Saccharomyces cerevisiae S288C: one gene and its partners. The protein of the gene in region 4 purifies or fractionates together with the protein of the main gene of each other region. This does not show direct contact. Each region holds a gene or a part of one and is shown on either strand. Other genes may lie near its edges.

Region 1 (7,361 bases), on a different chromosome or scaffold from region 4:
AGCTCACGATTTCTTGAGCAAATCTTTACTAGAATTAAAGAAAAGTGCTAATGTGGGTAAGAAGAAGGAAACTCACAAGGCTAACTTTGAAATTGATTTGCCAGATGCCAAAATGGGTGAAGTCGTCACTCGTTTCCCACCTGAACCTTCTGGATACTTACATATTGGACATGCCAAAGCTGCCTTGTTGAACCAATATTTTGCTCAAGCTTACAAGGGTAAGTTGATTATTAGATTCGATGACACCAACCCATCGAAGGAAAAGGAAGAATTCCAAGACTCTATTTTGGAAGATTTGGATTTATTAGGAATCAAGGGTGATAGAATAACCTACTCATCTGACTACTTCCAAGAAATGTACGACTACTGTGTTCAAATGATCAAGGATGGTAAAGCTTACTGTGACGACACTCCAACTGAAAAGATGAGAGAAGAACGTATGGATGGTGTTGCTTCTGCCAGAAGAGATCGTTCTGTTGAAGAGAACTTAAGAATTTTTACCGAAGAAATGAAAAACGGTACTGAAGAAGGTTTGAAGAACTGTGTTCGTGCCAAGATCGATTACAAGGCTTTGAACAAGACTCTAAGAGATCCTGTCATTTACAGATGTAATCTAACCCCTCACCACAGAACCGGATCAACTTGGAAGATCTACCCAACTTATGATTTCTGTGTCCCAATTGTTGATGCTATTGAAGGTGTTACCCACGCTTTACGTACCATTGAATATAGAGACCGTAACGCTCAATATGATTGGATGTTACAAGCTTTGCGTTTGAGAAAAGTCCATATTTGGGATTTCGCTCGTATCAATTTCGTTAGAACCTTGTTGTCTAAGAGAAAGTTACAATGGATGGTTGACAAGGACTTGGTCGGAAATTGGGACGATCCAAGGTTCCCAACTGTCAGGGGTGTGAGAAGAAGAGGTATGACTGTCGAAGGTTTGAGGAACTTCGTCTTATCCCAAGGTCCATCCAGAAATGTCATTAACTTGGAATGGAACTTGATCTGGGCTTTCAACAAGAAGGTCATTGATCCAATTGCTCCAAGACACACTGCTATCGTCAACCCAGTTAAAATCCACTTGGAAGGCTCCGAAGCTCCACAAGAACCAAAGATTGAAATGAAACCAAAACACAAGAAAAACCCAGCTGTGGGCGAAAAGAAAGTCATTTACTACAAAGACATTGTTGTCGACAAAGATGATGCTGACGTCATCAATGTTGATGAAGAAGTCACTTTAATGGACTGGGGTAATGTCATTATTACTAAAAAGAATGACGATGGTTCTATGGTTGCCAAATTGAATTTGGAAGGTGATTTCAAAAAGACCAAGCACAAGTTGACTTGGTTAGCTGATACTAAAGATGTCGTCCCTGTTGATTTAGTTGACTTCGACCATTTGATTACCAAGGACAGATTGGAAGAAGACGAAAGTTTCGAAGATTTCTTGACTCCTCAAACAGAATTCCACACGGATGCCATTGCTGACTTGAATGTTAAGGATATGAAGATTGGTGATATCATCCAATTCGAAAGAAAGGGCTACTACAGATTGGATGCTTTACCCAAGGATGGTAAGCCATATGTCTTTTTTACCATCCCAGATGGTAAATCTGTCAACAAGTATGGTGCAAAGAAATAAGCATCACATAAGTAATGTATATACATATTTATGTTATTTCTCAACCAGTACCTTTTGAACAATATCTTTTATAAGTGAATGGTTTGCTTTCTGAACCAGTCCTGTGTTCGCTGCCTTGAATCATGTAAGGATAGCAGCTTATGACATGTATGTCTACCTATAGAACTTTGACTGTAAAAGTTTATCATCCATTACCCGGTTTTGTAATTTTGACAATTTATATTTTATTGAAATTGGTTCAAATAGTGACTACGAGCTGGAAGGAAAATATTCAAAGTTACAAAAGGTACTTGAAGGATACCAAAGTTTGTAATTGTATTGCACTAATTTGTTGAGAGCACTATAGAAATGTCTGATTTAGATGAGGATTTATTAGCCTTGGCTGGTGCCGATGAATCCGAAGAAGAAGATCAAGTTTTGACAACTACATCTGCCAAAAGGGCAAAAAACAACGACCAATCTCTTTCCAAGAAAAGGAGAATTGAAGTCGGCAGTGTAGAGGATGATGATGAGGAGGACGATTATAACCCTTACTCTGTAGGAAATGCAGACTACGGTTCCGAAGAAGAAGAAGAAGCTAATCCTTTTCCCTTGGAAGGAAAGTACAAGGATGAGAGCGACAGAGAGCACCTGGAATCCTTACCTGAAATGGAACGTGAGACTCTATTATTTGAAAGATCTCAAATCATGCAGAAGTACCAGGAGAGGAAACTTTTTAGAGCACGTGGAAGAGATATGAAGGAACAACAACAGAGAGCCAAGAACGACGAAGATTCCAGAAAGACCAGAGCTTCCACTAGATCAACCCATGCTACTGGGCATTCTGATATCAAGGCTTCAAAACTTTCGCAATTAAAGAAACAAAGAGCGAGGAAAAACCGTCACTACAGCGATAATGAAGACGAAGACGATGAGGAAGATTACAGGGAAGAAGACTACAAGGACGATGAAGGGAGTGAATACGGGGATGATGAAGAATACAATCCTTTTGATAGAAGGGATACATACGACAAAAGAGAAGAAGTGGAGTGGGCTGAAGAGGAGGACGAGCAAGACAGAGAGCCTGAGATTTCTGATTTCAACAAACTAAGGATCGGTCGTTCATTTGTCGCAAAATTTTGTTTTTATCCCGGGTTTGAAGATGCAGTCAAAGGTTGTTATGGGAGAGTCAATGTTGGCACAGATAAACGTACCGGCAAAACTTCTTACCGTATGGTGAGAATTGAGAGAGTTTTCTTGCAAAAACCTTACAATATGGGTAAGTTCTATACTAACCAGTATTTCGGTGTTACCCAAGGTAAAGACAGAAAGGTTTTTCAAATGAATTATTTTAGTGATGGTTTGTTTGCCGAAGACGAATACCAAAGGTATCTCAGGGCATTGGATAATTCGCAAATGATTAAACCTTCTTTACATTCTTTGAGTAACAAAACGAAAGAGGTTATGGATTTTGTCAATACACCATTGACTGATAAAACTACAGATGAGGTTGTTCGCCATAGGATGCAATTCAATAAAAAACTATCTGGTACGAATGCAGTCTTGGAGAAAACTGTATTGAGAGAAAAATTGCAATATGCCAAGGAGACTAATAATGAAAAGGACATTGCAAAATACTCTGCTCAGTTAAGAAACTTTGAGAAACGAATGTCTGTATACGAGAAGCATCATGAAAATGACCAATCTGACATTAAAAAACTAGGCGAGTTGACCTCTAAGAATAGAAAATTGAATATGAGTAACATCAGAAATGCAGAGCATGTGAAAAAAGAAGACAGTAATAACTTTGATTCAAAGAGCGATCCTTTCAGCAGGCTAAAAACCAGGACCAAAGTTTACTATCAGGAGATACAAAAGGAAGAAAACGCAAAAGCTAAAGAAATTGCACAACAAGAGAAGCTACAAGAAGATAAAGATGCTAAAGATAAGCGTGAGAAAGAGCTACTTGTGGCACAATTCAGGCGCCTTGGTGGGTTGGAGCGCATGGTTGGTGAATTGGATATCAAATTTGACCTTAAGTTTTAGTAGGCAGGACAATTTCAGTGTTTGTAAAAATATATTTATATTTATATATTTAAATATACTAAATAAAAATAATACTATCATCGTTGTGATGCAAAAAAAAAAAAAAATGAACAGAAAATAATAGTGATGTGAATGGTTTCGTGCCAAGGAACAAGGCCATGCATAGTAAACCTTCTCACTATGCCAAGTGAGGATAAATTGGGTGAAGAGATATCAACGAGGGTGATTAATGAGTATTCAAAACTAAAATCTGCCTGCAGACCAATAATTAGGCCTTCAGGTATCAGAGAGTGGACAATATTGGCAGGTGTTGCAGCTATTAACAGAGATGGCGGTGCGAATAAGATAGAGATACTTTCCATAGCTACTGGTGTGAAGGCTTTGCCAGATTCAGAACTACAAAGAAGTGAGGGGAAGATTCTGCATGACTGTCATGCAGAAATACTGGCATTACGAGGTGCTAATACAGTTTTATTAAACCGTATTCAAAACTATAATCCATCAAGTGGTGATAAATTCATTCAACATAATGACGAGATACCTGCCAGATTCAATTTAAAGGAAAACTGGGAGTTGGCATTGTACATCTCGAGATTGCCCTGTGGTGATGCCAGCATGAGTTTCCTGAATGATAATTGCAAAAATGATGATTTCATCAAAATAGAAGATAGCGACGAATTTCAATACGTCGACCGTAGTGTGAAAACAATATTGAGGGGACGCTTGAATTTCAATAGAAGAAATGTCGTTAGGACTAAACCAGGAAGATATGATTCCAATATCACTTTATCTAAATCCTGTTCTGATAAATTATTAATGAAACAACGGTCGTCGGTACTGAATTGTTTAAATTATGAACTCTTTGAAAAACCTGTATTTTTAAAGTACATTGTGATTCCTAATTTAGAAGATGAAACGAAACATCATCTAGAGCAATCATTTCACACTCGTCTACCGAATCTAGATAATGAAATTAAATTCCTGAATTGCCTCAAACCATTTTATGATGATAAATTGGATGAGGAGGATGTTCCTGGTCTAATGTGTAGTGTCAAGCTCTTTATGGATGACTTTAGCACCGAAGAAGCGATTCTTAATGGCGTGAGGAATGGATTTTATACCAAATCATCGAAACCACTGAGGAAACACTGTCAATCGCAAGTAAGCCGGTTTGCACAATGGGAACTATTCAAAAAAATAAGACCAGAGTATGAAGGAATAAGCTATTTGGAATTTAAATCTCGTCAAAAAAAGAGAAGCCAGTTAATTATCGCAATAAAGAACATTTTATCTCCCGATGGTTGGATACCCACCAGAACGGATGATGTGAAGTAATATATATATATATTGTTGAATATGCGTATATGCACACTTTTTTGTTAGTGCACCTTAAAGAAATATATACACAGTAGAAATATCTATATATCCAGAGTTCATCTATCTTTCCCTCTCTGTGGTATTATCATCACATATTTTATCATTTTTTATCATCTTCTTCGTCATCGTCAGATGGACCATCATCTATCATTTCCCCATCCTCATTGTTATCACCTGATCCATTGGTACTATCAATCGCTAACTCGGCACCCTGCAAAAGGTCAATTAATTCATCCAGTTCATCACCATGAACCAAATCAACTGGCTTTTGATTGTTATAGTTTCTCACCCTAGGATCCGCACCCACTTCAATTAAGTTTCTAGCAATAAAAGTTCCATGCTCAGGCTCCTCTTGACTGTATCTGACAGTAACATGTAACGGAGTGTCGCCATCAACGTCGTTTTGTGGGTCTATTTCGATTTCACCGTCTTGATCGAGAATCTTGTCGAGAACTTCCCAGGATCCATACTTACAACATAAATGTAACGCTGTATTCCCCAGTGGTTCTTTGGATTCGTTAATTAGCTTTGCAATCTTCTCAGGATCATTATCTAAGCTATCAAATACGGTCTCCAAAAGATCCAGATTGTTTCTTCTAGCTGCATCCAGCAATTGTTCACTTAAAGAAGCACCTTCAGTATTCATGATCAAAAAAAGAAACTAATTTATTTTGTGAAAAACTTCGACTTCTTTCACTTATGACTTTTTTCACTGGGATTCAGAAACTACCTCACAGGACCCCTATATAATGAATTTATTGTCAACCTTTCTATCAACGCGTTATACCTTGGGTATACTAGGAAAAAAAAAAAAAGATACATATGGATGTATATGACCTGCATACACGATCCGAAAATCTTGAACGTAATTGTAACACTATCAACACATTAAAATGGATATTAATGAATTGATAATAGGTGCTCAATCAGCTGATAAACACACTAGAGAAGTTGCGGAAACGCAATTGTTACAGTGGTGTGATTCCGATGCATCTCAAGTGTTTAAAGCGCTGGCAAACGTTGCCTTACAGCACGAAGCTTCTCTAGAATCGAGACAGTTTGCTTTATTGTCGTTAAGAAAATTGATCACCATGTATTGGAGTCCAGGATTTGAATCATACCGTTCTACATCGAACGTCGAAATAGATGTTAAAGATTTTATCCGAGAAGTGCTACTGAAATTATGCTTAAATGACAATGAAAATACCAAAATAAAAAATGGTGCATCTTACTGTATTGTTCAGATATCTGCGGTTGATTTTCCTGATCAATGGCCGCAGCTTTTAACAGTTATTTATGATGCTATCTCTCATCAGCATTCATTAAATGCGATGTCTTTATTGAATGAAATTTACGATGATGTCGTATCTGAAGAAATGTTCTTTGAAGGCGGAATTGGCTTGGCGACAATGGAGATCGTTTTCAAAGTACTCAATACAGAAACTTCTACTTTGATAGCCAAAATTGCTGCTTTGAAGCTACTTAAAGCATGTCTTCTACAAATGAGCTCCCATAATGAGTATGATGAGGCGTCACGAAAAAGTTTTGTCTCCCAATGTTTAGCTACTTCTTTACAGATATTGGGACAATTGTTGACTTTGAATTTTGGAAACGTAGATGTTATTTCTCAGTTGAAATTTAAATCCATTATATACGAGAATTTGGTTTTTATTAAAAATGATTTCTCTAGAAAGCATTTCTCAAGTGAATTACAAAAACAGTTCAAAATAATGGCAATCCAAGATCTGGAAAACGTTACCCATATAAATGCAAATGTCGAAACTACTGAAAGTGAACCCCTTTTAGAAACAGTTCATGATTGTTCTATTTATATTGTAGAATTTTTGACTAGTGTTTGCACTTTGCAATTTAGTGTTGAAGAGATGAACAAAATTATAACATCTTTAACCATTCTTTGTCAGCTAAGTTCTGAGACAAGAGAGATATGGACAAGCGATTTCAATACATTTGTATCGAAGGAAACAGGCCTAGCAGCATCATATAATGTTAGAGATCAAGCCAATGAATTTTTTACTTCATTACCCAATCCTCAACTTTCCCTAATTTTCAAAGTTGTTTCCAACGATATAGAACACAGCACGTGTAATTATTCAACTTTAGAATCTTTACTATATCTCTTACAGTGTATTTTGCTTAATGATGATGAGATAACTGGTGAAAATATCGATCAATCTTTGCAAATTTTAATAAAAACGTTAGAAAATATCTTAGTATCACAAGAAATACCAGAATTAATATTGGCGCGTGCAATTTTGACTATTCCCAGAGTACTAGACAAATTTATAGATGCATT
Region 2 (9,883 bases), on a different chromosome or scaffold from region 4:
GAGTAAAACAGGGCTCAAGTATTTAAATGCCATTTTTTGAATCAATCTCATTAAGCCTGGAATAGCCAGGATTTCCCAATTAAAGACGGAGTTACCCAATAAACGACTAATAAAATCAACTTCAGGAACTTCCAATAACTGAATATTTATAGTTTCAACAAGAGGCAAAGTTGTCATCAATTGGAAACGAAATCTAACAAAAACTTGAAAAAAAATATCAGCAACTGAAACAGGTATGTCCATTCCGAATATCTTTGCCTTTAATACGACATTGGAATTTACGTAATTCCTGCATTGTTTTGCATCAAGATCAGACATGTCGTGTGGAGTGAATGATAGACATACGTCCATGACTACGACATCAGATTTTGTATTTTGGAATGTCTTTATGGCATCAATTCTTGGAGGCTTCACACCTAACGTAAATTGATCCAGCCAGATGGCTTTTATAAACTTTGGAATTGCCACATTTTCAGATAATGCAGTATTTGTACCATCGACAATTTGTTGGGAGACAGAAGGTTCGATAATGGGCCAGTATTTATCTAAAAAGGTGTTTAACCATTCGACAGATTCATAATCACTAGTAATTTTCTCTACAGTTTGTTCTTTCTGGGCTAAATCCCTTAACGATTCCCTATATTTTTTGGACGAAGTTCTATATAACATTCCTGTGGTTAGCATCACGATAAGGACGGACGCGAGAGAGAATTTAAAATAGCCCAGCACAAAGGAACATAAACCAGCGATGATGAGAATAGCGACTTCATGATACCAATCACCATAGAATTTATCTGGTAAAAGGTTCCCCAAAAAAGTGTCCTTGTTTACGTCCACTAAAAGGTCTTCGGAAGTTAACTCGTCCTTTTCCTCCCAACCACCAACTTGTTTCCAACCAACGTACGATGGATCTTGTTTTTCTCTTACTATTGATGTACCATTGGTTTCAACTTCAGATTTTATTGGAACAGCATCCTTCACAACATTCTTACTTTCCACCTTCGTGGCTTCATTAATACCAGGCATGGAGCTTATCTGGTCCGTTCGAGTTTTCGACGAGTTTGGAGACATTCTTTATAGATGTCCTTTTTTTTTAATGATATTCGTTAAAGAACAAAAAGTCAAAGCAGTTTAACCTAACACCTGTTGTTGATGCTACTTGAAACAAGGCTTCTAGGCGAATACTTAAAAAGGTAATTTCAATAGCGGTTTATATATCTGTTTGCTTTTCAAGATATTATGTAAACGCACGATGTTTTTCGCCCAGGCTTTATTTTTTTTGTTGTTGTTGTCTTCTCGAAGAATTTTCTCGGGCAGATCTTTGTCGGAATGTAAAAAAGCGCGTAATTAAACTTTCTATTATGCTGACTAAAATGGAAGTGATCACCAAAGGCTATTTCTGATTATATAATCTAGTCATTACGATCGACTTCTATTTGTTTCTGATATAAACATATAAAAAGAATGGCGCTTTCTCTGGATAAATATTATTCAATCCTCTTCATTGAACGAAACATCTGATCCTTGGTTTTCCTCTTCATCATCTTCGATGAAACTGTCGTCAGATAATTCTAAAGTTTCAACGTAAGATTTCTTAGGAACCGACGCAGCTCTCGACGATCTTTGTCTCCTTGATCGTTGTGGTATAGCATCATCTTCATCTTTATTGCTATCTTCCCGATCAGTGTATGAATCTAAAATTTCTAGGTCGCTTTCACCAGATAGTTCCACAACTTTTTGTTGTTTCCTGACTGGCTTCTTGGCCAATTTAGGTTTTACAGCTGTTTTTTTAGCGGTTGTTTGATTTTTTTTAGTGGCTACATCGTCCTGTTCTGGTGTATTTTCCTTCGATGTAGCGGAAGTAGAACCCATTTTGTCAAAAATCGTGCTAATTTTTTTAAACTTGTTCGAAATCTTACTCAGTTCGCCCTCATCTTTATCTTCTTTCTTTATGTCGAAAATAGAAGAAGAACTCGTGGAAGAAGGAGCATTCTCTTCTTCTTCTGTTTTTGTTTCTGAAACAGAAGGCGTTTTCTCTTTTTTAATCTTTGTAGGCGCCTTGCTTTTGGTTACTAGTTTTTGTTCTAACAAAATCCTTTCAAAATTCTTATCCTCTAACTTAATTTTTTTGCCCTTTCTAGCAGTACTTTTCTTGTTTTTTTTTGATGGGTCGTAGTCTTCGTCGTCAACAAGCTTTCTTTTTCCTTTACCTTTCGTTTTGCTCCCTTTATTGGGAACATTACCACCGCGAGCTTCTGCATCTCGTTGCAAAAATTCTTGATATCCCACCTCAAAAGCCTTCAAGTCAGTGTTCCATATATCTTTCGCGGAAAGTTTTAACAAGTTTTCCAACTCTGTCTCCTTTTCTTGTTTTTGTTTCAACAGCTTTTGATATCTTTCCTTGGTCAATGACCATATTCTCATTCCTAATAAATATTCATATGTGCCATATAGTTCTTCAGGACCATTTATAACATTTTCAGTATCTTCGTGTGAACTTTCTTCATCTTCTTCATCAGAAGTTGCGCCTTTTACGTCGTTAATTTGTTCAGCTATCTCATCGTTAGGACTTCCATAATATGGTTTACCTTCCTTATTAAATCTGGGGAACCCTAAATTCTCAAGTTCTTGGATAATAGCGTTCCTAGGCTTATTGGTGACTGTTAACTCCTTTTCAATAATCATTTTAATAAATTTTACTTGGAAAGAGTATTTCTCTACCTCCCACTGTAACCTTTCGCTCATATGGTCTTTTCTTTTTTGATAGTATTCTAGTCTGACGTAGTAAAATTCGCTTAATATTTCATTCACGGAATTGTACTTCTTGATTTTCCCGTGAGGATCAAATGCGACCATATTCATCAAACTTATAGGCGAAATTAGTTTAAATCTTTCATAAAAACCTATTTTCCTTGTTTTAGCCATTTCCTCAGGTGATAGCGTGATTATGAATTTGATGTTATCATCGTGCTGCTCCTCCATATCTTTGATCCAGGGTTTTATTTTATCGTTACCGCTTAAACCTAAAAGTAAGTACTCCTTTATAGTCGATGTCCAAGTTCTGGCTGGCAACTCAGTTATTTCTAAGACGTTATCTCCAATTTGTTCAATCCTACCGTACATTCTGTAACGCAGAGGCTCAATTTCTTCAATAGTACCGGTCCATCCCCTAAACCACGGATGCATTTGCTCAAGCTCCTCGTCGTTCATTAAATGTCTTATATTCTTTATAATTTCCAATGGGTTGAATGGAGGAATGTAAGTACTCCAGCCAGTGCCAATACCCTCAGCACCGTTAACAAGAATCATAGGAAGAATTGGTAAATACCACTCTGGCTCCACTGTTTTCTCATCTTCTTGTATATATTTGTATAATGGATCATCAGCAGGGTGAAATATCTTACGAGTTAATTTGTTCAATTCTGTGTAGATATATCTCGCTGCCGCTGCATCTTTACCACCAGTGGCTCTTGTACCGAAAGCACCGTTAGGTAATAGCAAGTAAATATTGTTGGACCCAACAAAGTTTTGGGCTAGCCCAATAATAGTTTGTGCCAATGACTGCTCACCATGGTGATATGCCGTACATTCGCTCACGTATGGTGCAAGTTGAGCTACTTTCAGTTCCGACTTTAAATTTTTTTTGAAACAACCATAAAGAACTTTTCTTTGGCCAGGTTTAAATCCATCTAAAACATTGGGAATCGACCGTATATTATCGGCCAAAGAAAAAAGGATTAATTCCTTATTAATGAAGTCGCTAATTGGAATCTCTTTTAAAGTAGGGTCTAAAACAGTACCAGGTTCGTATTGTCTCAGCCATTCTTTACGGTCATCTGCCTTTTTCTTGGAGAAAGCTAAATCAATGTAATCTTTATCATTACCCTGCAAAGAATGGAATATTTTCAAATGTCTGTCCAAGTTCGAAAAATATTCTCGGACTTCTTGTGCTAGAGAAGTCCCTAATCCTTTATAATACTTCTGCTTCCAAGTAAATTTGTGCGATTCTTCCTCTCTCCATTTTTCATAGTCCGGCATATTGTAGAATGCAATAGTGTTTTTTGTTGGTTTAGTGATGGAAACTTTGATGATCGGAGTTATGAATTCAAGTAAGAAACCTTGGATATCCAAAAGACCAGGAAATGAGCTTTCTAAAAAGTTTATAATTAAACCTTTAATATGCGAACCATCATGATCTTGATCGGTCATGATCATAAGATGCCCATATCTTAAAGATTTTGTATCTTCATATTTCTTGCGATGTTGTAACCCCATAATTTTTTTAATGGCTTGAATTTCCGCGTTTTTTAGTATCTGATCAGCACTAGCTTCTCTAACATTCAGCATTTTACCACGAAGTGGATAACAACCATAATAATCTCTACCAACAACAGCTAAACCTGCAACAGCTAATGACAAGGCGGAATCCCCTTCTGTCAGAACTAAAGTACATTTATAGCCTTCTTTTGTACCGGCTTTGTTGGCATCTTCCAGTTTAGGGTAATTAGTAATTCTGCTTTTCCTTGTACCATCAGACTTCTTTAGCGCATTTTCTTCATTTGCGTCGGCAATTTCAAACATTCTTGTAGCCAAATCAGTTTTCATAATCTTATTAATATATTCAAGAGGAATCTCACAACGGGACCCAAAATCTTTGACTCTTGTTGTCAGTTGCTCTTTTGTTTGTGAGGTAAATGCAGGATTCTCAATCAAACAATTAATGAAAATGAACATATTATTTTTAATCTGAAAAGACTTCACACTTTTTTTCTTCTTTTTCTTCAAAATTTCTGAAATTTTTTTTACAATTTGGTCTGTTATGTAATTGACATGGGTACCACCCATGGTAGTTGCAATGGAATTCACAAAAGAAATTTGTTGAAAAGAGATATCAGAAACCGCAAAAGCAACTTCCCATCTGTTGTTTATTCTCTCATAAAGAATAGTCGGGATATCAGACTTAGCGGCACCGTCCTCACCGTTATCTAGTTGTCTTTTTTTTTCGAGTGATTTCAAGTAGAGTTCAACATAATTTTTGAAATTTCTTATCTTTAAGGACTTGCCATTCAGATAGACATTAATGTCACGAACAGAACCATTGATATCATAAACTCTTCTTCGCATCACTCCTAAGATATCATTATCTAGCTCTTTCATTCCGAATCTGGTTAAATCCGGCTTAAATGTCACCTTTGTATATGATGGACCCTTCTTGTAAGATGTTATTTTTGGGGGGTGGCAAATGCTCATGTTATTTTCCCATTTTTGAACATATTTCTGGCCAACATTTAGATCTGCAGTTTCTAATATGAATTCAGTGGAAAATATATTACAAAGCTTAGCACCATAACCGTTTCTACCACCAGTGACTTTCTTCTCATCATCATCATAATTGGATGATGTCAACAAATGACCAAATATCATTTCAGGAATATAAATATTCTCCTTGTTATGAATCTCTATGGGAATACCTTTTCCATCATTTTTCACTTCTATAGTATGTTCCTCAGCATGTATGTTTACATCGATTCGTTTCATCGATGGATCACGAACTTTATTATCTGCCGCATTGACTAAGATTTCATCAAAGATTTTGAACAACCCTGGTACAATTGTGACATTTTTTTCAATCATGCAATCGGTCTCTTCATCGTATATCCATTGCAGCTGCTCTTGAGTTTCAACAGAACCGATATAAGTGTCTGGTCTTTTTAAGATATGTTCCAGTTGAGAAATTTTCTGATATTTATCAGAGGCGCTTACCGGTTCAGTTGACATGGTTAGCCGTGCTGGTCGTTATAAACTCCTTTAACTGAAACAGAAAGTTAAAATTGTCGTGGTTTGCTCTACGACGTGGTTGGATTATATGAAAGATGATCTCCTCTTTTCTTTTCTTTTTGTCTCCTTCGGCAATTCAATAATATGTTTACATTATACTGAAAAAAAAAAGACGCGTCCTACTGGCGCGTCTTTCACTCATCGCCTCGTAAGGAATTCGAATACAAATAGCGTAAATAAGTAAATAAGTATATAAACGAAAAATAATCAAACTAGGCAGTTCCGTTTAGCTCATCGGCGCAGTACCTTGAGCTATGGTTTGATGTGCCATTTTCTTATATCCGTCGGAAATTTTGCTTCTGGTAAAGGCTCTCGAATAAGAATCTGTAGGACATTAACGAACAAACATATCGAATGGGTTTGTGTTTTATACATGCACTATCGATAAGCCTTTTTAACTTATTCCATTATATCTATGAAATTTGATTAAAATTATAATACGGTATTGTTTTTCCCTCCCTTGCTAAAAAGATAATGTATCATTTCAGTGTAAGTTTTTTTTATAAAATTATGCAACAGTTAGCCCCTGGTTCCTTCTTCATAAGCAAACTGGTTCTTGTAGCTACTTCAAAGACATCATCCACACCCTCACCAGTCAGTGCACTACATTCCATGTATTTCTTGGCCCCAATGGCCCTTGCAACTTGTTTTGCATCTTCAATGGGAACCATTTCATCGGTAGCATTCTCTTTAAAATGGGCTTCTTGCCTCAAATCTTTTTTCAAGCCTACAAGAACGATTGGTGCGTCAGGACAATATCGTAATGCCTCATCCGCCCATTTCGTCCTTGCGTTAATTAGTGATTCAAAATTGTCTACAGCAAACCCAATTAATATTATATCTGCTTTTGAATATGAGAATGGACGTAAACGTTCATATTCCTCTTGTCCCGCTGTATCCCAGAGCGTTAAGGACACTTTTATTCCGTCAACTCTGCAATCAGTGACATAATTCTCGAACACTGTCGGATGATATTGTTCAGGGAATTTTCCTAATGTAAATACATATAGTAAAGAGGTCTTGCCACAAGCACCATCACCAATAATAACAAGTTTCCTTCTAACGGCCTTTTCAGACATAGTACGGGATCAAAAGCACAACCAAAGCAGAACGTTTCAGCAATTGATGTCTGCACACAAATCGTTTACAGCGGTATGCAAGGGCAGTTTAATTAAGACTTAATCTGGGGACTTTTGGTTCAAATTATCAGAATAACTACCTTTGGAGAGTTGCGCTTTGAATAATTGTTGTTGAACAATTGATATATGTTATACCTAAAAAAGAGTGTACCGAAGTCTATTATCATATTCACATTCCTGCGAAAAATGGAAATTAAATGCCGGGTAAGATGTATGGGGTGTCGCAGCCTCACCTCTAAAGCCACGACGGTAAGAAAAACCGACGCGTGGCTCACATCGAGTAGAGAGATGTACGATTGTTTAGTGTCTCTTCTGAAATTTCGTCGAATTATGTATGTATGTAAATATTTTTGGCCCTGCGTACCGGAGCAAATTTAAGACGTTTGCGTAGTTGAAGAGGCAATTGGAAAACTAGCCCTTGTGGAGGTATGAGGCCTTGACGTAAATGGTGTAGCAGTTGGATCGTTCAATCCACTAAAGAGTTGATTCAGCAACCCCTTTGAGTGGCCAGCGGGAGTTTGTCTCGCAAATCGAACGTGGGTAATGGATCCATTGTTATCAGTAAAGAATTCGCAATTGTAGGCTCCTTGCATGCTTATCAATTTGTTGATAAACGTCGAGTAATCCAAGTTAAGTCCTACTAAATTTTGGAATAGTGTCCCGATAGCAATGTAGGGGTTTAAACTATCTTGTGGGGAAATAGCTAAATAAGTATTGTAGATGCTATCCAGAATGTGGCTTTCATCCACTCCACTCGAAATTTGAGGGGATTGAAGGACGTTGCTAGTCAAATATGGTGAATTGTATTGACTGTTACTAGACCAGATATTTGATGCCATGAACGCAGGGCTATCTTGCGCAGTACTAGTTATATTGCGACCGGAAAGCTCGGATTTATTCATCATCGGAGTGGTGCTGCTGTCCCAGATAGAAGTTCGATTTGGAAACGATTCAACGCTTCCTAATGTAGGTGCGAGCAGCATACCGCTTTGTATACTGCTGTTGTTAAAGTTTCCTGCAGTCGACGGTCCCGAAAATGAGCTTTTTTGATCATTCCACACAGAACGCTGTGATGGGGGGAATCCTGATGATGAAAGTGATGTATCTGCGAACCCGGAAGAAGAAAGCATGCTAGTTAAAGTGTTCAACTCGTCGGTAAACGATTTACGGTGAGTACCACCATTAGGTAGTCCAAAAGATGGCATTGTAGCTTGAGGACTAGATTTATGGGCTTGTGATTCCATTTCTGAAGTTTGAATAACCGGTGGTTTACATGTAGGATTTATGGACATTGTATTTGTCAGACCACCCCAAGATGATAAACCAAAGTCATTTGGCAATAGCTTAGTTGGCGATGAATTATTATGCATCAATAGACTTGTATTTTCCAGAGTTTGTGAGTTCATTAAATAGTTGTTTTCAGTCTGTAAAGAAGATTTTGTAGCCAAGTCTAACGCATTCGGAATAGTTGTAGTTCCAAAATGGTTGTTTTGATTACCTGGCTGTGGCAAGTGTGATTGTTCCATAGCAGGCATCTGGTTGTTAGTTGAAGGAAGAAGTAGATCATGAACGTTAAAGCCTGTGGGTGAAACTGGTTTGGATGCAGCCACGCTATTAACCATTTTAAGTATTTCATCGTTGATACTGCAACTATTATCCTCTTGGTAGTTAGTCATGTTGGGATGTGATTGAGATGAAACAGGGTTGCCAACTCCATTCTCAGTAAAAGGTTTGGCGGAAAGTATGTTCGCAGATGTTTGTTCTTCGTTTAATTTCTGTTTTCTTAGCGCATCCTCTGCAATTAATCTTTGTCTCTCTTCTTCTTCTTTTTCTTTCTGTAGCTTTTCTTGTTCTAGCCTTTTCTGTTCTCTAATACGTTTCTTTTCTTCTTCCCTCTTGCGTTTTAGTTCCTCTTTCTGTTTCCGTTGTTTTTCTTGCATTTCTTCTCTCCGCTGCTGCTCTTCCAATCTACGCTTTCTCTCCTCGTCTTTCTTCCGTTTGGCTTCTTCAACCTTTTTCCTTTGAGCCTCTCGTCTTCTCATTTCACGCTCTTCTAATTCCTTCTTTAGCCTTTCTTTCTCTTCTTCCCTTTTTCGTTTTTCTTCCTCTTTAGCTAACTGTTGCAGCCTCTTCTTTTCTTTCTCTTTTTCTCTTTTTTTCTGCTTTTTTTCTTCCTTCTCTCTTTTCTTTCTTTTTTCTTCTTCTAGTTCTTGTAGAAGTTTTAGTCTGTTATTATCTGCCTGTTTCTCATGATAAGAAGCCATTATTCGACTTTGAAGCAACTTTGTAATGGCTATCTGAATCAATTTCCGACCTTCTTCTAAACGGTCAGTTTCATCAAGACCGCTGTCATAAGTATCTTCTTCGTCATCGCCTTCATTTTCATCCTCTTCCTCTGGCTCATCTTCATCCCCATCTAATATATCATCATCGCGGTGAAAGTGCTTATGAGGATCATGCGGTAATTCTATATCGGAAATATACTCTTCTTCACTCAGTTCATCTTCGCTGTGGGTACTGGTACTATGGTAGTGATGGTGAGGGTGGTTCTGTCGTTTATGATCGTGGTCATAACTTAAATGTAATGTTTCACGTATCCCGTTGCTTTTTTCATCATGCTCTGGTTTTTCGACTGCCTCTATTCCTTCATACTCAGAAACCTCTTCGCTATCTTCAGCATATTCTGAATAGTCATCATAGTCTTCCTCATCTTCATCTTCATATATAGAATCAGTATCTAACGAAGTATCCTTCGATTGAGATGAAAAGCACGAGCTTAAAGTGGCTGCTAGAACGGATGGACCTAATTCCCCATCAAATTTATTTTTAAAGGATTGAATTATCAACTCTCTGAAAGATTTTTTGTCTCTCCCCGACATGAATCGTGTAAATAGCTCCTTCTCTAA
Region 3 (6,418 bases), on a different chromosome or scaffold from region 4:
AATAGACAACACCCGTTCTAACAAAATCAAGGTTGTTAAGACCCCAGGTGGTATTTTGCGTGCCCAACATGTCAAGAAGTTAGCTACCAGACCAAAGTGTGGTGACTGTGGTAGCGCTTTGCAAGGTATCTCTACTTTGAGACCAAGACAATACGCCACTGTTTCCAAGACCCACAAGACTGTTTCCAGAGCTTACGGTGGTTCCAGATGTGCCAACTGTGTTAAGGAAAGAATTATTAGAGCTTTCTTGATCGAAGAACAAAAAATTGTCAAGAAGGTTGTCAAGGAACAAACCGAAGCTGCCAAGAAATCTGAAAAGAAGGCTAAGAAATAAACTTTAAGAAAATGTTACTTTTCTTATGTACCTAATTAACTGTTTTATATAAAGCACGAATAAAAATAATTCATATCACAAGAAAACTTTCATGGCTCTAGCGCTCTATGAATAATGCTTTTTGTAATGTTGTCGAGCTACTATTTCTTCATTAATCATCGTCATCCATAGCCATGGGAATTTAGTAGTCAATCGCCTGTCCAACTGTAGACGACGTAACTCTGCTATAAAAAAGACCTGTTCATATTTTATTTTTTTTTTTTCATGTGCCACGAACAATTTAATGTATGGGAATACAACTGCAAAAGAAAAAATCAAAAAAAGAAATCACACACCACAAACACCAAACATTATGCCAGAAGCTTTCGCCAAATCCTGCGTCGATTAATTTAATGTGAACACCACCTCAGATCTAACACTGATGAAAAGCCTTACAAATCTCAACACATCTTTTCCTTTATGAAGAAGAGTGCCTTGCACAACCATACATACAGGAACTTGATAAAGCCTACAGATAAAATCCAAGTGGAAAGTAAACAAAAAATCCTAGAGAATGCTCGCTGAAAAAAAAAAAGATGTCAAGACAGATTACGTCGTAAATTCAGCCACTTTCAACCAAGTTTCCGTAATCATATTAATTTCTGAAATTAATTAATCTAACGTATCTCATATCTTTTTTAAGTGATTTACCTGTGGAGAACAGCAAAGAGGTCATCCAAGACAGAAAATCGATGGATACTGGTCTTATTCGGTCAAAGTGACTGCAATACTCCTCTGCGGATTTGCTTAGTGTTAGAAAATCGAGCGGCATGTTTTCTTTTGTCACCAATGGAACGGCCTCAAGGAACTAAATATCAGTCGATTTTATCGCCTTTCCCGAGTGGGGGGCGTATTCGTACAAATTGACTCTTTTTCAGAAATGTCTGCCGCCCGCGTTCGGTCATTAATGCACAGCTTTATCGCGATTGCCATTGACTTCTACGTACATATAGTTGCTACGTCTTCGCCTTATCAATAAATAATTATGAGTCTTTAATTTCTTTTTTTTCATTGTCAGAATTTTTCATGTCCTTTTTTTTTTTTTTTTCTCGATGATCAAGATGTTAGGGAACCAACCAAGATAATGGTTTTAATATAAATATCCATTAAAAATATTTAGACAGTAAAATAGTGGTGAGTCTAAAACGCGTTGGAGGCATTTTTCTTTGAAATGTAGATAAGTAAGCTTAACTGTAATAGTATTCACAACAATATCCATATAAATTTCGCATATAAAACATCCTATCCTCTATTATAACGATTTATAAGAATGTTGGAAGAGGGAAATAATGTTTACGAAATCCAAGACTTGGAGAAGAGATCTCCTGTAATAGGCTCAAGCTTGGAAAACGAAAAGAAGGTAGCCGCTTCTGAAACTTTCACAGCAACTTCCGAAGATGACCAACAGTATATCGTTGAATCATCAGAGGCCACAAAATTATCGTGGTTCCATAAGTTCTTTGCCAGTTTGAATGCAGAAACAAAGGGTGTTGAACCAGTTACAGAGGATGAAAAAACGGACGATTCCATACTGAATGCTGCGTCCATGTGGTTTTCAGCTAATATGGTCATTGCATCATATGCTTTGGGTGCCTTAGGACCCATGGTGTTCGGTCTAAATTTTGGTCAAAGTGTTTTAGTTATCATATTTTTCAATATAATGGGGTTGATATTTGTTGCGTTCTTTTCTGTCTTTGGTGCAGAACTGGGCTTAAGACAGATGATTTTATCAAGATATCTGGTTGGTAATGTAACGGCAAGAATTTTCTCTCTTATTAACGTTATTGCTTGTGTCGGTTGGGGTATTGTGAATACCTCAGTATCCGCACAACTGCTGAATATGGTGAATGAAGGCTCCGGCCACGTCTGTCCTATTTGGGCCGGTTGTCTGATCATTATTGGTGGTACCGTGCTTGTGACTTTTTTTGGTTACAGTGTCATTCATGCATACGAGAAATGGTCATGGGTACCCAATTTTGCCGTCTTTTTGGTTATTATTGCCCAACTATCGAGATCAGGAAAGTTTAAAGGTGGTGAATGGGTAGGAGGTGCAACTACTGCAGGTAGTGTTCTTTCTTTTGGTTCATCTATTTTCGGTTTTGCCGCAGGATGGACGACCTATGCAGCTGACTACACTGTTTATATGCCAAAGAGTACAAACAAGTACAAGATTTTTTTCTCCCTAGTTGCTGGTCTAGCGTTCCCTCTATTTTTCACCATGATTCTTGGTGCTGCTTCTGCTATGGCTGCTCTTAATGACCCAACCTGGAAGGCATATTATGACAAAAATGCTATGGGTGGTGTCATATATGCTATCCTGGTTCCTAACTCTCTGAACGGATTTGGTCAATTCTGCTGCGTTTTGTTAGCTCTGTCCACTATTGCAAATAATATTCCAAATATGTATACTGTTGCTTTATCCGCTCAAGCTTTGTGGGCACCTTTGGCTAAAATACCAAGAGTAGTCTGGACAATGGCAGGTAATGCTGCCACTTTAGGTATTTCCATCCCTGCTACCTATTACTTTGATGGCTTTATGGAGAATTTCATGGATTCTATCGGTTACTACTTAGCTATTTACATTGCCATCTCATGTTCAGAACATTTCTTCTACAGACGTTCCTTCAGTGCTTACAATATTGATGATTGGGATAATTGGGAGCATCTACCTATCGGTATCGCAGGTACTGCTGCCTTAATTGTTGGTGCCTTCGGTGTTGCATTGGGTATGTGTCAAACCTATTGGGTTGGTGAAATTGGCCGCTTAATTGGTAAATATGGTGGTGACATTGGGTTCGAGTTGGGTGCAAGTTGGGCCTTCATCATCTACAACATCTTAAGACCTTTAGAATTAAAATACTTCGGTCGTTAGGAAGTAATGATTAGGGCGATCATTTCCCCGTGCACATTTCACGTCATGTATCATAGATGCAATTTCATGTAAACTATTTAGACATCTCATTTAATAAAAATAGCTACAAACTGTATTTTACAATATTAGTAACATATCAAAGATAATCTCTATGGTATATACAAAACTTCAAAAATGCCAAGACAATTTGCACGGCTGCGACCTAATTGAGACTTTGTGGCCTGCATATCAGTCTTACAATAAAAGCCAAAAAGAAAAAAAAAAAGTAAGAATGCACAGGTGACTAGTGGTTATGTGACTATGTGAACGTAAAGAGAACGAGATGTAACCCGGCAACCCGGCTAGAGAGGTTGTTTAGCATGCGAGGTATTAGACTCCTTGTCAAAAAATTAATTAAAATATTTATTAGTTAATTTATTAGTTGCAAAGTCATTGATAACAGCGTGACTCTTCCCGGAAATTCTTTCATTTCGGCATTTCGAAGCGAGACCGCAAAACACGTGTACGCACGTAGCCAACGATTGAAAAAAAAAGCTTCCAAGTGAGTCACCTCTACCGTTGGAACTTATAAAATATTTTTGCAGAATATACTCGCCTGAAAGTCCATTTATACGCAGTGAACTGCAAGTATTTACCGTCTAAACTTTGGCATTTTACTCCTATTAACGGTTTGAATCTTTGAAAATAGAAAAGAAAGGATAGGTTTCTAAAAAATTCAATAGAAAAATGGATTTGGTGAACCATCTAACCGATAGACTACTGTTTGCAATCCCAAAGAAAGGTCGTTTATATTCTAAAAGTGTTTCTATTTTGAATGGTGCTGATATTACCTTTCACCGCTCTCAAAGATTAGACATTGCACTAAGCACAAGCTTACCTGTAGCGTTGGTCTTTCTGCCCGCTGCAGATATTCCAACTTTTGTTGGTGAAGGTAAATGTGATCTTGGTATAACTGGTGTTGACCAAGTTCGTGAATCTAACGTCGACGTAGACTTAGCAATCGATTTGCAATTTGGTAACTGTAAATTGCAGGTACAAGTCCCCGTAAATGGCGAGTATAAAAAGCCAGAACAGTTAATTGGCAAAACCATTGTTACCAGTTTCGTGAAACTTGCTGAAAAATACTTTGCCGATTTGGAAGGTACTACTGTTGAAAAAATGACCACAAGGATAAAGTTTGTCAGTGGTTCCGTGGAGGCATCATGTGCTCTGGGAATTGGTGATGCTATTGTAGATCTTGTAGAGAGTGGTGAGACAATGAGGGCAGCAGGTTTAGTTGATATTGCCACCGTCCTAAGCACAAGTGCCTACCTAATAGAATCAAAGAACCCAAAGAGCGATAAGAGTTTGATTGCTACTATCAAATCAAGAATTGAAGGTGTCATGACCGCTCAAAGGTTCGTTTCATGTATTTATAACGCACCTGAAGACAAGCTGCCTGAACTGTTGAAGGTGACGCCTGGCCGTAGAGCACCAACCATTTCCAAAATTGACGATGAAGGATGGGTTGCTGTTAGTTCCATGATTGAGAGAAAAACGAAGGGTGTTGTTTTAGATGAATTGAAAAGACTCGGCGCATCTGATATCATGGTTTTCGAAATTTCTAATTGTCGTGTATAAGATAGAACAGAAAAAGGGAAGCCAAATCCCGATTAATTTTGTATTTTTTATAGGCAATAATTTGATAGAGTTCTATCTTATTCTAAGTTACCCCTCATGACTTCCCAAGTGTGTTTTGAGGTTATCTCTGTGAATATTTTTTCTTTTTTTTTGCTACTTCCCCAGGAAGTTAAATCTTCGTAGCATATTTGTCAGCTTTACTACCGTCTTCATGCTCATGAAACCTTCTTCTTCAACCCCCTTCATTTCTCCAATTTTCGAAAACTGGAGCTACCCATAAATATTCGGAGTTTTGTAGGTATTTTTATTTTGGAGAAAACCTGTACAAACTCTCCCCAGGGAGCATAGATTGGGGATCGTAACGCATAAAGCTGTCTAGAATGCATTTTTCCATGCTACGTCGATTTTTTGCCCGGAAGAGGCTGACGTAGCGCTGGAAGGTACCGACAACTATGCCTATTGTGGAGATGGGCGGCAAACTCCTGTCGCAGAGTGGGGGCGGGGAAAGGTTCTTTTTGCCGTGGAATGAAGCGCATAAAAGAAAAACAGTATGCCATATTAAGTCTTTTTAAGGGGAAAGGGGCTGCTACCATGAGGTCTTTTACCAAAAATGTGTATCAGCTACGCTTCTCAATGAAGGGGCCAAGAAGTTCGTTCTATCCAACAGGAAATATTTCGATATTGCAACGGTCTTTCTATATCTTGCATATTCTTCTTCAGGTTGAGTTCCTTTATATATACTGCATTGCGTAATAAGCAACACAGGGCCCATCCGTTCAACAGAAGAAAACTAAAGCTTTTCAAACATAGCCTTTCCAGTTCAGTGCATATTTATAGAAGGTAAACCTGCATACAATACGGTTAAAACAATAGGAACGAAAAGAAAGCTAGACGGGAAAGCAGTTACTAAAGGCAGGGTTGACGGGACGTTTAAAGAGAGAAGTCTGGTTTATAAAACCTTTTAGTAGTAAAAAAGGAAAAGAAACAAGGAAGGTTGGCATTCTGTTTGATTGAGGAGAAAGGAACCACATTGGACTTTTTTTTTTCTTTCTGTAAGGTATAGTTTTTAGTAGGCTGAACATCAAAAAGATCTCCGTTGTACTCAGAAACAAGTTTAATAGGAACGGGTACAGATATCTTGTCAAAATTTTATTCTTACAGCCCAAGTTTATTAGGATTTCATCAACGCAACAATGTATATAAAGGCAGAACAGAAACCCCAACAGTTTGAGAGGAAGAATGAAAAACTAGACAGAAATAAAAACCAGCAGCTACCAGATCTTGAAACAGATTTCAAGGGTTACAGAGTGAATTCGGACCTATACAACAAAGAACGAGATGGAAGTACGGAAGAGACTTTAAACTCTTTGAAGTTTTTACATAAACCTCAGAGAGTAACTCAAATGAGAGCGAACAGGTTCCCAGAGGAAGAAGTGCAAAGAAACACTGATTTAAACAAAAGAATTTTCTCCGCAGGGAATGATGAAAACGTTGATAATGAGAGCGGCTGGTCAAAAATTGCCGCTGCCAAGAATCACACTTCCGTAGAATCA
Region 4 (7,011 bases):
TGGCTCTTATCACCATCATGGGACCTAAGTGGTCCTTGCGTTATCAGCCAGATGATAAAACTAAGGGTATTTTAGATAGGTAGATATGTAAAAGAAAAGAGAATGCAGTATACCCAAGATAACGTTTCATTTTCATCTGTATAAATTTCATGACAATAGATTATAAGAAAAAGTGTGAGACTGAAGGCAGAGCGATCGCACTCAAGTTTCTGTGCCAGGCATACCTTCAAACAATCGTCCATAACAGCCTGAATATGCTTCTCTAAAATGTTCATAAGGGTCCTCAGGATAAAGTAATACTCCGCATATAAAACAGAACAGCGTCCCGCATACTTCGCATTTCATTTTATTGCAACCTTCACTTCTTTCTACAACTACCTTACACTTTGGACATCGCTGCAAATTCGAACCCTCTTTTTTAATCGCTAAATCTAACATTTTTTCAGCAAGGTAATCATTGACTTCAAGTTCTAATACTCTTCTCCCATATTTTGCCTCCAGTTTCCGCTTTCTCTCATATGAAGTAACGGTATCATCTAGATATTCCTCAATAATATCGGTCGATAACGAAACTTTCTTGCCACATTTATTGTTGTAACCATGCCAGGCATGCAAGCAGTCAAAGCAAAATACAAAATGACATTTTTGACACTGAATCATCGCATCATCGAGGTCTTCTTTTGTGCACCAACTATCACATCTTCGACAAGTCACACAAGCATACGGACAATATTTTGAGAGTCTTGTAGCCGCCTGGTTGTAGAACATTTTTTCGTATCTTTCACATAGCTCTGTATCGATAACCTCTTTTAAGAAGGACACTGGAATCAAAGGTGTAAACAATGCCTTCAGCATTTTTTTATAGCTCTTGAAATCTTCTAGTTTTAATTCTTTGTATTCGCATTGTGGACATCTTACACTGGATATTCGGTTTTCCTGAATCATTGCAGTGAAATAAGATTTGGCGCATCCTCTGCAAAGATAGTGTTCTACATTCGCATTTTCACATGGCAATTTGATCATTCTAACACCCTTTTCCATTTCCATACAAATACAACAATGGTAGTTAGATCTGCTCACTTTTTGGAGGGTGGCTTCCTCACTTATCTGCTTAAACAAGTCATACTGATCCTGTGTCAGGCACTTTCTTATTCCATTAGGGAATAGTAATATAGCTGTATCATCTATAAGAAACCCAAAGATGAGGATAAGGATGGAGGTAAACGAATCCGCGAACTCAATACTCATATCTACAGTTTCTTCAACGAGTCTCAGCGCTTTGTCAATTAACATCTTCTTTTCATCTGTTGATATCCATAAGGATTTGATATCCATAACAACACACCGTCGAATGTCCGGATAATGACAGCTATATATGGTGAACTCCACGCATTCATTAGATAAGTTTGAAAGTAACATATGTTGCTCGCCGAACTCAATATTTACATCGGCCAATAGTGATATCTTGAACAGTAACTTTCCGTTAATTCTTTGAGGGAATTCACCTTCCTCCTCTACTTTTACCGATTTCATTTCCAGTTCTGGGTACATATCTCTTAATATTTCCAAATCATTTTCAAACTGAGTCAAAGCCATTTTACTCCCTGGTCTTTCATCAGTTATATTAGTTTTCTGTAATTCGTTATTCTACACCATGACATAACTTACTGGTGACTAAATGAGAAAAGCAAAGTCCCTTTCTCTTGCTTGTTATTTATTTTTGAACCCTTTACACTATTTGTCTTTTTTTCATCACCCAATCGAAAAGTTGAAAGTATTTTTCAAGCATTGAAAGGGTAGAGGAGATTAACAAAACATAAATATTTTGCAAAACAAAACCAATTTCAAATAAATGTATAGAATAACACCAGTAATTAAGAGGTGGTGTCTTACACTCACCATGTCATGATAATATCAATTGGCAAAATATATTAGTTAGTTTTTACACAATATCAATAAATTTAACTTATACAGTCTAAAATTATTACTATTCTACCTTAGGCTTCTTCGAAGGCCTTTCTTCGTCGCTACCCCCCTCAGCATCACTTAAAGCCGCATCTGAATCAAACTCTTCTGCAACTTCGTCTGCGTCATTATCAGAGCTGACCTGAAAATCCTCATCTACTGATTCATCATCTTCACCAGCGGAACCCATATTAATATCCTCTTCGTCACTGTCTGAACCTAAAGCGGTTTGTAACCTTTCTTGTACCTCTCTATCTTCATTCTTCACCCTTAGGTTTTTAGACTTTAGGAATTGTTCCAATAATTGCTGCTCTTCCTTACTGATGTTGGCAAAAGTGGTAGAACCTCTATTTGAACGCAGTACCACTTCCAAATCAAACGTCCTCGATGACGTAGAAGTTTGTCCTGCTCTTGAAATGTTTACCATGCTAACATCACTGAATGGTATGTACAAAGTTGGCTTAGTTAAAAAGAAGAAAGCGTTATCTAATGGATACAAATAACCTTCGTTTGCTTTGAAAGAACATGAAACTGCACACTGATCATATTTGGATTTATATTCTCCAGGAACAATGACTCTACGGTCAGTCAGACCTTTTAATACATGACTTAAAACTATATGAGTTTTAGCATCATATTGTTTTTTCAATTTATCCTTATAATTTTCCTCATAATCTTCATCTTCTAGATTCAATTGCACTTCTGTTTCCTCATCTTTCTGAAATTGTAAGACAAGAAAGGGGTAGGTGGTCTGTCCTTGACGTAAAGGAGGTTCAATTGCCAAAACCAATAAGTGATGGATATCATCTGCCTTTGGTAACGAAACAATTCTTTGTATTTGACGATGTTGCAATTTGTATTCATAGGTCTTACCCCTGAGTCTAATGGAGTTCTTGTAAATATCGATATCATAACGACCTCTTGGCGTGGTAAAAAAGACGTCTTGGAAGGAAACTATTGCATCACCAGCGACTTCCCCGATGTCTGCCTTTTCCTTTAGTTCTTCATAGAATGCTTCTGCCATACTCTTTTCCTCTACTGCCATTTGTACATCTTCTCCTTCAGCACCATCTTCTTTCTTTGGTACGACCTCGTTGCTTGACTCTTCCTTTTTGGTCATGTTTTCATCGACGTTTGTTTGAATAACACCAGGAATATAGAACCTCATCTCTACCAATTCGTCACCGGCTGGTTGGTACTCTTCATCTTGAATATTAAATTCTATTCCTACTTCATTTTTAGAGGTCAAATTTGTATTATTTATTCTAGCATAAGGAATTTCAAAAGTTGGTTTACCATTTAAAGCAAAAACCATTTCATTCCTGGCAAGGTCTGTCTTACCCCAGTTCCAACCACGTAAGGAATGTTCTCTTTGCTCTACCTGAATATTAAAACGGCGATGGAAATCATTCTTGATTAAGTTATAGTCATCCTGAGAAAATCCATCTAGTTGGATAACACCTTGATTTTTGGTATTTATCTTCAAGTCGTAACCCCTGCAGCCCCTACTCCATTGGACGGTAGATAATTCTGTGGCTGGTAATAAAAATGGTTTTCTTGCCTGATTTGCTGCAGAGCCACCACTGGTACTAATTTTCCACCCTAACCCAGAATCAGCAATACGGAATCTACCGCTAAATTTAGATTGGTTCAAGTAAATTCTATCAAAGTCGGTACTCATAATTCTTGTTCAACAATACTAGATTGTTCCTTCACTTGTTAACGGTATTTCCTTCTTGTTCTTACCACCGATTCAACATCTAGCTACTCTCATACTATGTATATCTCTGACACTCGCGTTAACATTTCACCAGTTTAACGATTCGTTTCGCGTTGAACCGGGTTATACAATCGTTCTTCGCGATGATAATAACAATAACTCCAAGAAAAGTAAGCTTTTTCTATATATATATATCATAAGTATCTTGATATGTATTCGTGAGCCAAGTACTTACAAGGCGCTTTGAACCCCCTTCAAAAACTCACATAGGCCTACTGCACCAGGATCTTCTACTTGAGATGAATCGCCGACATACGAAGCTCTGCCAAATTTGGCCTCGAATGTAGCAGTGGATTTAGCACCTTCCTCTGCAGCTTTTACCGCCTTATTGAAATCCTTAGATGCAGTAAATTCTTTAACGAATGGTTCTAAAGCATCAATCATGGTGGATGATCCCTTCCTTGCCTTTGTATATTTGTATAAAGTATCCAATGCAATTCCGAGTGACTTAGCCACAATTTCCTTAGTGACGGGTTCATCCTTTGATTTACAAACCTGAATTAATCCGTGTGAAAAACCCGACAAAAGAATAGAATATAAACCACCAGAAGTACCTCCCATTGAGCCTTCAATGAAATCTGAAATTTGGGCAACCGCCTGAGATAATGAGTCCTTCGACAGCTTGTCAAGGTTTTCGGTGATGCCTTTAACTCCTGCCACTAAAGTGTAACCACAATCACCATCACCAACTTGATTGTCTAGTTCCGTAATGTGCGGTTCGCTCTTGATAACTTGTTCAGCACCACTCTTCATCCACTCAGCAAACTTGTCAAAGTCATAGGTACCGACGGCCTTTGCTGTTACTTCATTATGTAACAAGTCATCGTTAACAGATGGGGCAGAAGTCTTTTCAAAATCTGCAATTGGCCAGCCCGGTGCGTTCGTAAATGCGTTCAACAAGTCTAGTACTGATTTGATCTCCTCAAAATCAGATTGCAAAGCCTTTGTAGCCTTAGTGGCGTTTAGTAATGTGATACTGAACCCATTACCATTGAAGGAGGTCATCAATGTGCCAGCAATTGTTTGAACCGGGGTTATGTTGTAATTTTCCTTTAAGAAATCCGTAGTTTTGGAAGTGATAGAACTAATAACAAAATTAGAAACACCGCCGAGATTGTTAACTAACAAGACAACTTCATCATCTTCATCAAACTTTACAAAAGCTCTATCCTTATCGTTTGGATCCAATAGTTTTGGTAGCATATACTTGGAGATCAAGTCTTCGGTAGAAGGAATAGGGTCTAAAACTTTCACACCAGGTTCGTTATGAATACCCATACCCAATTCCATTTGTTTTTCGTTTAATTCACTTTCGAATTTCCTGCCAGGAACTTTACAATGGTCTAAAGAAGATCCAATGGTCACCAAATTGTCGTTGATAATTTTAGCCACTTTAGCTGTACCGTCTAAGCCATACTTACTAGAATATTCTTCTGCGAAGGCACCTACAATCTTATGAACCAAAACGGTACCTGCCAATGCTCTTCTACCAACCATACCACCCTTTTCTCTGCCAACTGCAACATCATCACCTATGACAGCAACGCGGCAGTTAATACCCAAGGCTCTTGCTCTCTCAGCGGACAGACCAAAATGCAAAACATCACCTGTGTAGTTCTTCACAATCAATAAAACGCCAGACGCATTTTCATTGACTAAACGGATTGCATTTAAAATCTGTTTTGTTGAAGGGGATGCAAAAATTTCGCCAACCACGGCGCCACTCAACATACCCTTACCAATGAAACCGGCGTGTGTAGGTTCATGTCCACTACCACCACCAGAAATTAATGCGATCTTGTCGGAATCGGTCTTTCTGAAGAGAATTTTTTCTTCAGGGACCAGCGTAATGGAGGGGTTAGCAAGGGCAAACCCTTTGAGACTTGAATTGACTGGATCTGTGACTTCAAACGATTTAGCGGACATTTAAAATTTAGTCTTAGATATAGAATGTAATCTTATTCTTTGATGTGTTCGTTTACAGTTGCTACAAATAGTGACTACTTGTAGCGAAGTTGAAGTGATTTTCTCCTTATATATTTATTCATCAGTTAGTTCGACAGACGCTCGCGAGGTGGCCACTCTTTCAAAATGACGCAATTGGGAGTGGTTTGATCTTTCTCCCTTAGAAGCCAAATTGGCAAGCACTCACTCCGGGCCAGATTTACACCATGTTTGTAGCGCATTTAAATCAGGAAATGCATTATATTTCACTCTCTCGTCTAGCGAGTCTTAATGTTCATGACGGGGGAGCTTTATGCCTTGTTTTTTATCACAGCGCCAGACAATTGACAGTAACAAATAAAGGCAAAAAACCCTTGAATAGCACCAGAGGTGTTTACTGATTGCTTTTAAAGTACGTATAAAACTGTAAAATATAGATTAAATTCGACCGCCATTACTTTAGAGTTGAAATTGGGAAGCCGTATATTGCCATTTCAGCCATGCTTCTATGGTTCCTAATGGAAGCATGAATGACATACGCAATTTGATGAGCTTGAAAAGGGCGTAATTGACAAGCCAGATTTGAATCTAATCCCTTGAGAAATTATCTGCAAGTAGTAAAAAAATCTCTAAAAGATGTATAATTGAGTCGCCTAGAGACCTCATTCATCATGATATTTGACACCTTAATTTTGATAGTAGCGGGTCAGTCATTAAGAAGAAAGTGAGCTGGGGCTAATCATCAACGATCTCCCATAATTACGTACGTCAAAGACAACACGTTGGCAAAGGTAAGAAGAACGTAGTGCGTATCATGCTTACGGTGAATTTCACCCTTTTTTTCTGTTATTCGTGCTGATCCACGGGGTATTCAATTGAAGATATTATCTTTATCATCATATCGGTAAGCGTCTGGGAGAAGCAACTGGTCAAACGTTTTCAAAAACCATTCTTTAAACAACAAACCGATCAATGTTCTTGATCAGCTTATCAATCTATCCGATCTCCTGCGTTCAGCGTGACCGCCACACTTATGTCTAGATAATTTAACTTCCAGTTGCTAATTTCCCGCTAAAGTATCTTATGTTTACCATCACTGTAGCCGCCCTATCATATGCAACACTTCCATACTCATTTTCGGAATAAGAAGCAACTATCATCTAACGACTAGTATTTATATTACTGGTATATTACCATATTGGGTATAAGACGGTCAAATAAATATTGAGAAACAGTCACCAATTTTAATGGAAATTGAAATGAAAGGGTTGATAATGTGCTAGGAAAATGAACGAGAACATACAAAATGAAAGAAGAAATAA

Evidence for each region.
Region 1: the proteins of POB3 (region 4) and RTF1 purify together in Saccharomyces cerevisiae (affinity purification with mass spectrometry; 4 studies listed by BioGRID). This does not show direct contact.
Region 2: the proteins of POB3 (region 4) and TOP2 purify together in Saccharomyces cerevisiae (affinity purification with mass spectrometry, with the first as the bait; 3 studies listed by BioGRID). This does not show direct contact.
Region 3: the proteins of POB3 (region 4) and HIS1 purify together in Saccharomyces cerevisiae (affinity purification with mass spectrometry, with the first as the bait; 2 studies listed by BioGRID). This does not show direct contact.

The regions. Positions count from the first base shown.
Region 1 is NC_001139.9:39,505-46,865, forward strand, and holds RTF1 (RNA polymerase-associated protein), read left to right. Parts: upstream 1-1,993; coding exon 1,994-3,670; downstream 3,671-7,361. Other genes in the region: glutamate--tRNA ligase GUS1, read left to right, coding at 1-1,645; TAD1 (tRNA-specific adenosine deaminase), read left to right, coding at 3,803-5,005; ankyrin repeat-containing protein ANK1, read right to left, coding at 5,148-5,693; karyopherin KAP114, read left to right, coding at 5,941-7,361.
Region 2 is NC_001146.8:453,599-463,481, reverse strand, and holds TOP2 (DNA topoisomerase 2), read right to left. Parts: upstream 5,779-9,883; coding exon 1,492-5,778; downstream 1-1,491. Other genes in the region: TCB2 (tricalbin), read right to left, coding at 1-1,071; Rho family GTPase RHO2, read right to left, coding at 6,339-6,917; NST1 (Nst1p), read right to left, coding at 7,352-9,883. UniProt on the Saccharomyces cerevisiae protein: Control of topological states of DNA by transient breakage and subsequent rejoining of DNA strands. Topoisomerase II makes double-strand breaks. Essential during mitosis and meiosis for proper segregation of daughter chromosomes.
Region 3 is NC_001137.3:263,339-269,756, reverse strand, and holds HIS1 (ATP phosphoribosyltransferase), read left to right. Parts: upstream 1-3,971; coding exon 3,972-4,865; downstream 4,866-6,418. Other genes in the region: 60S ribosomal protein eL34 RPL34A, read left to right, coding at 6-334; FCY2 (purine-cytosine permease), read left to right, coding at 1,644-3,245; GIP2 (Gip2p), read left to right, coding at 6,059-6,418. UniProt on the Saccharomyces cerevisiae protein: Catalyzes the condensation of ATP and 5-phosphoribose 1-diphosphate to form N'-(5'-phosphoribosyl)-ATP (PR-ATP).
Region 4 is NC_001145.3:132,135-139,145, reverse strand, and holds POB3 (FACT complex subunit POB3), read right to left. Parts: upstream 3,647-7,011; coding exon 1,988-3,646; downstream 1-1,987. Other genes in the region: ERV41 (Erv41p), read left to right, coding at 1-83; ITT1 (RBR-type E3 ubiquitin transferase), read right to left, coding at 202-1,596; DAK1 (dihydroxyacetone kinase), read right to left, coding at 3,917-5,671. UniProt on the Saccharomyces cerevisiae protein: Component of the FACT complex, a general chromatin factor that acts to reorganize nucleosomes. The FACT complex is involved in multiple processes that require DNA as a template such as mRNA elongation, DNA replication and DNA repair.